Linked DNA regions of Drosophila melanogaster. The protein of the gene in region 1 interacts with the protein of each later gene in a biochemical or structural test. Each region holds a gene or a part of one and is shown in the gene's direction. Other genes may lie near its edges. The genes, in order: endos and gwl.

Region 1 (4,661 bases):
CTGATAGGCCAACGTGTGCACATGTATGCGCGAGATAGAGCGACGCTTGGCATCGCTTGAGCTTCGGTCTTCGTAATCTTCAAGGAGACTAATGAAAACCTGCCGCATCTGGTCAAGGGTGTGAGCTATGCGCGGATTCCAGTCGGTGGCTAAGGTCGTCCGTCCGTGAGCAAGAACCTGCTGCAGGTTAGAGAGCTCTTGTTCGTTCATTCCCAGGGAGTCTACGTAGGGCAGTACAAAGTGTCGAAGCTGTTGAAGCAGCTGCAACTCCACGTAAGAAGCCATCTCGAAGTGGTTCAGAGTGCCCTGCGGCTGGCTGGTTAGTTGCCTTTGTACTTGCTGCAGGCGCGCCTCTCGCTCACCAGACTTAAAGGTGAACATGTCCATCATTTGCAGCCCGCTGACAACCAACAGCTGTGGCTGATACATCTTCAAAGCATCCGTCAACTGCTCCACGGCCCGCAGATGCGGATTATTTCGATCGTTGTGCAGAATGTAGCGATTGGCGCGAGGTGCCACATATGGGCCCCATTTGTCACCAGCCTTGTACTCCAGAATAAGATGGATGTCATCGTTTGGAATCTCGTCACCAGCCAGACGAATCTCCTTTGGCAGCAGTGGCCGCAGCCTGAAGAAGTTTTTACATTAAGTTCCATGAAATAATTTGTTATTCAGATAGGTAATTACTTTCTAGACATGTGGGCGCCCAGTAGCACTTGAGCTCCCTCCATAAAAAAGCGCACGGCCATCAGTGGGGCGTTACCACCCATGTACCAATTGATCCTCTCCTTGTCCATCACCTTGGCGTAGCCCACCAGCTGTGTGAAGAGGGTACTGTTTGCCATCACTCGCCTGAAAAGTGGACCAGTATGAAATACTTTGTTAGTAACTTGCATAGCCAATAAAATATTGGATATCCAAGATCCTTCCATGCAACTTACTCCGCTGCAGCGCCGTTCTGAAAGTAATAGGCAAAGGACTGCAAGAGCTCGTCCTCGTTGTTCACGACCGCCCGAGATCCTGTAGTGGCTGCTGCGACTGGAATCCGGCGCCCATAGTAGCGATCCAGAAATTCAGTGGCGTTTATCTGCAAGTCCGTGCAGGCTCCGTAGCCGATGGCCACCTTGGGTGCCGGTTCCAACGCGGTCCGCTTCAGGGATCTGAAATACAAATGCATATATAGCTAGTGCTGCAGTGTAGCCGAATGAACTCACCCCTCGATTGCCAGGAGACCGGTGAGCAGGACAGTCGTCCTGTTAAGCGTCTGCAGGGCGATGAATGCCTGCCAAATTATGGAAACAAAGGCCGTTAGGACGGAACAGCCGGTGATCCATCCCATGTATCGCAGGGCGGTCATTGTGGGCGTGGATTGTTGTGTGATTGGTTCGCCTCAGTTTGGGCTTTCCAAACTATTTTGTATGTGACAATCCGCCTTCCGGCTACGCCAACTTTCTTATCAGAATTATCGCTCTTTTTCCTTTGAGATGCTTCAAAGCTAGCGATGACACTATCTGCAGTTCTTGGACTACAGCGATAGTCCAACCAACAGTTACATTTGAATGCTATACTGCTATACTATATTTGAATATATTAAAATAAATTTAAATTGAAATGTGCACTTATAAGAGCGCCCTCTCAATGTGTTAATTTGTTCAATGCATAGAACAGCTTACATTGTGTTTAAACATCTTTTTTTGAGCATATTTTTTCGCTAACATATTGGGAATATGTATGTTTATTTGATCCTCGTAGTTTATATTTTAATTTTTTAAGCAAACAAATAAAATTGCAATTGCTTATCGATGACAACAATGGTTTGAGCCACAGCTACTCGAAGCTGGACAGTTCAGTATTGAGCAACTGTAGTTTCGATAAACGATATGTTCCGAAATAACGCCTTCTGCTATCGAAGACAGTCTTGCGTCTGTAAAGTGATAAAATAATTTTACAATTGAGTCGCCTTGGGAATTTCAGTCACTCTCCACACACCAAATACATAGCTCGTGTAACAGCCTGATTTAGTCGAACAGCACATCATTTGCCGGAATCGTTAGCGAATAGCAGCACTCTCCGCTAAGTCGGCACGCTAATTGGCAAAACCGATTCGATTCCAGGGAAGGAGACACACTGATAGACGGGTGAAGAACAAAAGGAGAAGGAAAACAACAGTTAATCGTCAAATTTTACAGGCAAAAGGTGAGCAACTACGCCTTGCACACAAACAACCGCATCGACGAGCAAACGCACGCACACACAAGCCTTATCGCCTGCGTAGTGGTTGGTGTATATAAAAAATTAAAACAATATTTGCACATCCGATTATTACTATAATATTTCGCGTCCACATATATTAGCAAGTGTGCGTGCGCCTGCCCTGGATTTACGTGCCAGTGTTTGTGCGAGCCTAGCGCGTTTGTGTCTGTGTGTGTGTGTAATGAAATGCAATTTTCTCTTGGCATTTTGCGCGCCTCCGATTTTCGCTGCCCCTCTGCAATTCCGCCGCCTCCCCCTCCTTTTGCCATTTAAGTTCTCCCGTGTCGCCATTGTCGCACCTTGGCTAATCCCAGTACTATCACCCGTAGGCAGCACACAATGAGCTCCGCGGAAGAAAACAGCAACAGCCCGGCCACCACGCCCCAGGACACCGAGACCACCGAGCAGGCTAACCTCACGGATCTCGAGAAGATCGAGGAGGAGAAACTCAAGTCCAAGTATCCCAGCGGAATGCGCGTGCCGGGCGGACACTCGGCCTTCCTCCAGAAAAGGCTGCAGAAGGGGGTAAGTGATTAGCACAATTCGAAAACAATCAAACAATAAGTTTACTAACTTTCGGTGTTCGGGGATACCCAAACCCTGTAATATGAATATCAATTAAAAATAATAATAATAATATTATTTAGTAGTATTTAGTACCCGTTGTTTAAAGGAAAATAACAATTCATGTTTCCTCTATTCTAAGATCCATACTATTTGGCAATTGCTTTCTGAAATCAATGAAACTCAATAATCACAGCGCATAGTTTATATCAACTTGATGATCTGGTAAACGAAATCAGATTGTTACATTAAGTTTGCATTTGGAAGATATCTCCGTTTTAGTTCTAAAAAGCTATTTGATTATATAAGAGAAATCTAATATGTATTCCTTCATATCCTTCCCACAGCAAAAGTTCTTCGACTCGGGCGATTACCAGATGGCCAAGCAGAAGGGTGGCGGCGTCAAGCAGGTCTTTGCCAACAAGGTGACCACCGGGGAGGCCATTCCCACGCCCGAAACCGTGCCGGCGCGCAAGACTTCGATCATCCAACCCTGTAACAAGTTCCCGGCGACGAGCTAATTTACTCACCACTCAACACTCACCTCTACTGTATCCACAACCTCAAGTGCAGCCAGTTCTCCGTTCCCCACTTCAAATGCTCTATACCTAATTTTAATGAAAAACCTAATGCTAAGATGGCTGCTGCCGGATTGTGCGGGCATTTCGCGACAGTTTAAACTGAAATTCTAGCACCATGTTCCGTGTTTCCCCCGTTAAATTCAATCGCCATCCGCACTGGCCAATCAATCTCAAGATCAACTCATCAGTCCATCTCTCAGGCCGGGGAAGCGAAGATGGCGAGCCGAGCAGCGCGAAATTTATTGCAACAGTTATATATATCTCTATCTTTGTAACATTAAACTAACTTACCCTCGTCGTACATAGTTGTAAGTATTACGAGCATAATAAATTTAAGTTGGAGCAGCCAGCCACACACACACACACGTTCTCGTACATTACTGGGATTCCATCAAAAGTTTTTAAAAGTTCACCATGTTCTATGGAAAATGTTTTTATATTTTTTTTTTTGCATTCATTCTATAAGCAGTTGACGGAATTTCACCAACTAATTGATAATAACATAGGTACTGCTGCTTGCAGAGCTAAATTTTTGATGCAAAAACCAAACAGTCGAGTTAAAATGAATTTGTAAATCAAGCAGAGCTAAAATAAATGTATGTACGTATACTTATAAATGTGTTGATTTCCTGGGGCGCTAACCCAACAACTGAATCGGAAATGTGCCATACAAATGTTTACTTAAATTATAAGTGCCCGGAGTGGAGTCTAATTAACTAGGAAACGTTCCTTCGAGCGGTGTGGTATGGTAATTGGTTGTTCAAATTGGACGGGAACGAAATGAAATCACCAAAATAGGTGGGAAATACACAATATTTAATACAAATAGATGGGTTCATATATTTTCATACGAACATCGTGTTTTAGTTAAAAGTTAATCGAACTTGCAAAGTGAGTTTTAGGCCCAATTAAAAAAGTTTTAACCAATAAAATCGCTTTTTGGACCACAGTACAAATGAAATCAATCAAATATCCAAGTTTTCCACCAATCGATACCAGCAGATTAAGCATCCATATTGCCACACTTCTGGAACTATCGATAGTATCGCATAAACAGTGTTTTGTACCAACTCTAGGCGGAAGGCGCAGCGGTGATAAAAGAGAAAAAGTGATCTTTAAATGCAATTTTTCGGTTCCAAATTGCATTTGTTATGTGCTACGCGATAAGCACCGCATCGCACACCGTTTTTCGAAGTTCGCAAATGGCCAAGATCAGCGGAAAGACGAGAAAACACGCTGCAATGTAGATGCCCACGAGCAGCC
Region 2 (6,713 bases), on another chromosome or scaffold:
GCCTGGACCCATCGCGGAACGGGTCGTTGGACGATTTCCCGCTCCGCCGTCTGTGACAGATCGTACAGCCGGTCAGCTTCCGCCTGCAGCCGCTGGCTTAGATCCTTATTAGCCGTCACAAGGCACACCTGTGTCTCCAGATCGCGGTTCACCGATCGCTCGCCAAAGTTCGAAGAGCCGATCAGCGTGAGGTTTGGCAGTATTGCCTCTGGCAGGTAGTACCACAGTCCTTTAGCATGGTACGTCCAGCCGGGCTTTTCGTACTCGAAGAAGTTAACGCGGTGGTTTTGCTTCCGGCGGACCAGGCTCTCGTAGAAACTCTTGGCTATCAGTGTGTAGGCAGCCGGAATTCCGCCCGCTGGTCCTTTGGCACCCTGAAAGCCGTTTGCCTGGAAAATGAATTAAATCGGGTTACTATTGGTCAACTAATTACTGATAGCCACTCACATTTGGATGAGCCATCAGTATGCTGCATTGGGCCAGGCACTTGTGCGTGAGCGTGTCCATGTACTCCTGCGTCAGGTTGAAGTACCCGGTGGCCAGTTTCAGCCGTGATCCAGACAAGCAGTTGGAGAGCAGCCGCTTGGTCACCACGCTGTCGTGATGAATGCCGATCTGGCCCATCTCAAGCAGCGGAAAAATCCATGTGTCTGCCTGCGGATTCTGCTCTTTAGTTCGCGCCTGCCGCTGAAACGTCTCCTGCACTAAATCGGAAATACGTTTACGGGCAAGCTGGATAAACTGCTCCTTGGTGCCCTCGTACGGCAGTATTCGCCAGTTGCGGTGCAGTCCCTCGCTGGCATCTGGCGCCACTGCCAAACTAAACTCTTGAACGCGTTCGATGAACTGCGCATAGAAATCCGCCAACGGTTTGTCCTCAATGAGTATGTATCGATCCTGCCGGTTGGTGAAGTAGTCATTGGACAGATTGGCGCCTGATATGATCACGGCATCGTCGAACAGGTAGACCTTCATGTGCTGTAGTCCGAGAAGCTCATTCCACCGTGGCGGTGCTAGTCGCTTTGTCATCCCGCGCAGATCAGGCGTATGGTACAGGGATAGCTGCACCTGGCTCGCAAAGTCGCGGACCAGGGGTAGCAACATGGTCTTGGAGTTGAGGGTTCCCCGCGTGCCGCGTGTAAAGTCCAACAGCACGTTGAGCCTCAGGGCAGACTGTTGCTCCAGGCTGTGACGCAACGTCTGAACCATTGCGTTCTCCAGTTGCCCAGTGCCCAGGTACAAACTGGCCAGCACTATACGGCGTTTGGCCTGACCGATTCGTTGCACCAGCGTTTCGTAGAAGTGCTTTGGCTCGTGGATGACCTGAATTTGATCGCCTCGCAGCGGGAAGCACGGCGCTAGGTTGTGTAACCAACTTAGGCTCTCCAGTGCGGGTGCTCCAGGGAATCCGGTGGCCAGGACACTGGGCGCCTGCTGCAAGCAGCCCAGAAAATCGCCCTGAGCAGCCGGAGAGAGCTCCTGGCTGAAAAGGCGGCGAAGGTATGGCATCATCTTGGCGGGGATTTCTCTGACGGATTGGCAAGCGGATCCTCACTCTGGGCGGCTGCTATTTGATGACAGGGTATGGCGCATTGCTCACTGTCTGTTTGGCTGTATCCGGAACACACTTTCATTCATGGAGTGCTGTTTTATCACAAAAAAAACTTCGAATTTCAGCACGTAAATAAATTCCAGGTGGAACGCAAGTGTTGCAAAGCGAGCTGGGATTCGATAACAATTTATAGCTATCGGGAATTATCGACTGTTCATAATGGTGATGGTGATATGGTGATCCTGCTATGTGTTTCTTAAAAAAAAATAATATTTAAATCAAATTAATAAAAGCCTAACCATTTATCAATAGTTACTAACTGTTACATTTTTAACATTTTTGTGTATATCTACTTTTATATATATGCATAAAGAAATATTTGAATAAATTTACTTGAAATATTCAACCGGTATCTTACTAATATGCATTTCTTTTTGGTAATATTTAATTTTAGTTTAAAAAATCGTTTAATTTTAAACTGCAATAACATCGATGTTGTCAAATTTCTAGAAACATCGATAATACTAAGAATCGAATTAGTTTCACCTCTAGTTCAGGTCATAGAAAATAGACGCGCTGTTTTAAATGTGTGTTTGAAATAAAAATTGTGCAATAAACAAGCTAATAGCATTCAGGTCTATATCGAATTCTATACATTGTATATCTCTGTACGATAATTGTATATATTGTGCGAAACCGCGAGAAAATCGCACTCTGACCGTCGGAAACCTGGAAGATATGGAAAACGCCGATGCGACTTCGCAATCGGATGTCCACATCGACTACAAAACCCCCAAGAAGACCCACTCGCTGATCGACAGTGAGCAGTTGCTGGACAAGATCAACATCCTTACCACCAAGCCGGAGAATCACTCCCAGAATGCCAAGGTACGCGGAGGAATCGCAAACTGGCGATTACCACACGTGGGTGGTTTACAGTTAGCCACGGTTGCTAATCAAGAAAATTTGAAATGCCTCTAAACACAGTGTTTATGTAAATTGATTAAAAAAGGGCAGTACATGTTCAAGAATTAATGAAAAGGTTATGTTTATGTATTATAGGAAAAACGAAAAACATATGTACGTTCAAATGTGATGTTATATAGGATTTCCATTTCAAAAACATTTTTACAGTTCTATTTATCTTCTGTTTTTTTTACATAGCTCCTTTCTTCATTTCCTTTTACTGGCTATTGATGTACATATATCTTCTTTTATCCAATTATATATATACACATATGCTTTTTTAAGATTTTTTATTTTTTATATCTAGAACTGAAGTTTTTCTATGTCTAACTTTAGCTATATTATTTTCCTTTGTTCTGCCTTGGGCTATAAGAATTACCACCACCACTTAGGTCACTTTATTATATAGTAATGGATACATTCGCTTTCTTATACAGCTTCCCACTATCAAGGATTTTGTCATCATTAAGCCAATCAGCCGCGGCGCCTTTGGAAAAGTCTTCCTGGGCTACAAGAACAACGACTCGAAGCGGCTGTTCGCCATCAAGGTGATGCGCAAGTCAGAGATGATCAACAAGAACATGGTGTCCCAGGTAATCACGGAGCGGAATGCCCTGGCCCTCTCCCGCTCTCAGTTCTGTGTCAGTCTCTTCTACTCCCTGCAATCGCTCTCCTACGTCTACCTGGTGATGGAGTACATGGTGGGCGGGGATCTCAAGTCACTGCTGGCCATGTTTGGGTATTTTGACGAGCCCACGGCCCGGTTCTACGTGGCCGAGATGGTGATGGCGCTGCAGTATCTGCATCAGCACGGAATTGTCCACAGAGATATTAAACCGGACAACATGTTGCTCTCCTCCAGTGGCCATGTGAAGCTTACTGATTTTGGGTTGAGCAAAATCGATATGCGAAGAGATCTGGAAATATCAGACCTTATAAACTGCTCACCGAATTTAAACGCCCGCACGCCGGGCCAGCTTTTGTCGCTTACTTCGCACCTGTCTTTTGGGTCAGAGAAGAAACTGAATGACTTCGGTTCTGTTTCAAGTGGACAAAACAACGGAATGGGCTCGGTGGCCACGGGGACATCCCACTTGCTGCAGGCCATCAACAAGCATAGTCTGATAATGGAGCTGTCGGATAGCGAGGGCGACACCTCGCTCAATGATGCAGAGAAGACGAGCGATAGCAAGATATCTGGTGTTTCCCCCTTCTTTTCTGCCGAGGAGGCCAATGAATCCATTACTCATACCTGCACTACAAACGTAAATGTGGGTAAACATATTGCAATTAAAATGGATTTATTCATCTATCATTCTCCGAATCTTCAGCCCCAGGATAGCAGCTCGTCTTGTTCGTTCCACACTTGTAACTCGGCCGACCTGAGCAAGTGCTCACCACCACTGGAGTCAAAGGACGGTGCTGCTGCGGGCAATGCGATCCCCAGCAAGCGGCGCGTGGAATTCGTCTTGGATGCGGCACCCTGTCAGGTAAGTGGCTGGAAATCGGCCAAACCCGTAATCTCTGTATTTATTTGCATAAATGGTTGATTCTCTGAAAGGGCTGCAAGCTGGCCGAGCAAGACAGCAGCAACATGGCCACCAATGATGGCAAACATTTGCCCAAGATAGATAACGCAATCGAGGCTTCGTTTGAGTTTTCCATGGTGCGCAGGCGATCGGTCGACGAGGTGCGTTGGCATGTGCATGTGTGTGTGTCTGTCCATTGTGCGGTTTCCCTTTCTGTATTAAAATACTAGTATTTTATAACTAACTTTACAACTAACCAACATTAAATAGGTTAAAAGATATGTATACCACATATGTAGGTAGTTCAGTTAATAACTACCTCTACTGTTCCCTTTAGCGAAATCGCATCTCAAAGGGGCCGGAGGATTCAGGGGTGTCCAGTCGCAAGGGCGACGACTATTCCAGCTGCCACTTGAATCTGAATAGCGAGAGCACGGCTTCGTCGATTGAGAAGAATGTGGACAACCTAAGCCAATCCAAGGAGGATTTTAGCTGTTCAGATTACTCGCGCAGTTATAACGTGACCAACGGCAACGAGATGAGTGGCATCAACATGAACTCGCCGTTTCGGAATCTGTCCAAGCACTTTAAACGCCCCGACTTCCTGCGCGGCATGAAGCGAAAGATCAATTTGGTCAATCGCTCCGACAACATGTCCAGCATGGATACCGATGGCTGCAGTTCAAGCAATGGAAGTACCAACACCGGACTAACACAGGAAATTGAAATCCTTAATATTGGCAGCAGCACGCCCAAGAAGCGCAAGGCCCGTTCCTCGCCCATCCGTGGTGTGCTAAAGGTGCGCTCTTTATCCGATGACGAAATGCCCATAAATCATTTGCTTGGTCCGGAAGCAAATGTGGCCAACGTGGTCTTCTCTACGCCCGTATCTTCACAGAAGTTGCCACGTCGGGATGGTGGTCTTCTTGGAAAGCTCAAGGCCACTCGGTTCGCTCTTCCGCTGTCCATTGAGAACAAGAAACGGGAGCATGCGACCGCCGATAAGATGTCAGGCATTCAGTACCATCTGAAACTGTCCGACGATCCCACGATGTCGCCTATCAATCATGGAGCCGGCAATCTACCAAAGACGCCGAAAAACGTTAACATCAATACCCCGTTCCGCACACCGAAATCAGTGCGTCGCGGGGCTCGCGTGTCTAATGAGCGCATCTTGGGCACACCTGATTATCTGGCGCCGGAGTTACTGCTGAAGCAAGGTCACGGTCCGGCCGTCGACTGGTGGGCTCTGGGCGTCTGTTTCTACGAGTTCATGACCGGCATTCCACCCTTTAACGACGAGACACCTCAGAAAGTATTTGACAACATTCTGAATAAGAGTGAGTTTTGTTATTTCAAGAGTTTTCTTGCAAATATTATACCTATATTTTTGTTACCAATTCCTCACAGACATCGAATGGCCAGAAGGTGATGAGGCATTATCCGTCGAATCCATGGAGGCTGTGGAACTGCTCCTGACCATGGATCCCAATGAGCGACCGGCCGCAAAGGAAGTGCAACAAATGCGTCACTTTGCTTGCATCGACTGGGAGAATATAGGCAATACCGAGCCCCCATTTGTCCCGACACCAGACAATCCCACTGATACGGGATATTTCGATGCGCGCAACAATCTTCAGCACCTGCAGCTGTCCAATTTTGCCCTAGAAGAATGATTGCCAAGCGGAGCCCGGCTGCCTCCGTGTCAGCGTGCTCGTACCGAGCACTGTATTATCGTTATTTATATTTTCATGTAGCAATACCTAAGAGTAGACCCTTAATGTTCATCTGTTATCGTTCGTGTAGCCCTACGTATTTATATTTTGTTTAAAGTTCATTCAAGTGTATCATTATATTTTCGTGTACATTTAGTGGATTATTACTGTCATGATTGTCGATGATCATGGTCAGTGAAGAGTTTATATACAGGTACTGATGTCGATTTTGTTATTGTAACTACGCTTAAACAAATAGCTTCAAGTATGCACTTTCGAGACATGTATATCAAATAAAGTTATAGTCTACAAGATTTAAAACAAAGTTTCAGTGTTTGGCCCCATGTTTGTATTATGCTAAAAAGTATGTATAAATAAATGTTCACTTTTATACATTTTATGCAATTTTGAAAATTGCTTAAAATTTATCACTTTATTTAACCTATACCTAGTTAGATGATATATAACACCTGGAAAATAACACAACTGGCTGTTAGGATGTTTAGAATATTTCACTTGGTCGGTAAGCTACGTGGCCATTAACTTGAATTCAAAGTCCCAGACCTCTGGAATGGTTGTCAGGTAGCTCTCCTCGTAGAAGATGCTGATGAGTCGGCAGACCATATGAGGTACGGCCCGGATATCGGGAAATGTGGATTCCTTGAGCAGGCTAACGGCCCGAACGATCAAGGGCTTGATGTCGGTGAACTTCTTGTTGGCCAGCAGCATAGACAGCTCCCGGAGCGCACTTTCGTACTCTTCTGACGGTATGCGAAGGTCCCGATTGGCCGGAAACAGCGAAAAGATCACACAAGCCAAGCAACGAGTTAACACCTTTCGTCTGAAATGTAAACCACGCGTATTTTCTTTGTTCAATCTTCATAAATCGGAAAAACGAACCTGTTGGTTATAACCTCCGATTTGAGACCAATCACTCCCAACAGACCATCG

What was found.
Region 2: of the proteins of endos (region 1) and gwl, one has a biochemical effect on the other in vitro, tested with the Drosophila melanogaster proteins (2 studies listed by BioGRID).

The regions. Positions count from the first base shown.
Region 1 is NT_037436.4:14,028,924-14,033,584, reverse strand, and holds endos (endosulfine), read left to right. Parts: upstream 1-1,878; 5' UTR 1,879-2,196; exon of another isoform or gene 2,197-2,277; intron 2,278-2,354; exon of another isoform or gene 2,355-2,582; 5' UTR 2,583-2,592; coding exon 2,593-2,778; intron 2,779-3,164; coding exon 3,165-3,338; 3' UTR 3,339-4,006; downstream 4,007-4,661. Other genes in the region: CG6650 (uncharacterized protein), read right to left, coding at 1-628, 688-852, 942-1,160, 1,215-1,357.
Region 2 is NT_033777.3:18,744,282-18,750,994, forward strand, and holds gwl (greatwall), read left to right. Parts: upstream 1-2,088; 5' UTR 2,089-2,290; coding exon 2,291-2,440; intron 2,441-2,955; coding exon 2,956-3,789; intron 3,790-3,849; coding exon 3,850-4,008; intron 4,009-4,079; coding exon 4,080-4,208; intron 4,209-4,384; coding exon 4,385-5,387; intron 5,388-5,457; coding exon 5,458-5,723; 3' UTR 5,724-6,079; downstream 6,080-6,713. Other genes in the region: PGS1 (phosphatidylglycerophosphate synthase 1), read right to left, coding at 1-389, 448-1,512; Epg5 (ectopic P-granules autophagy protein 5), read right to left, coding at 6,291-6,603, 6,663-6,713.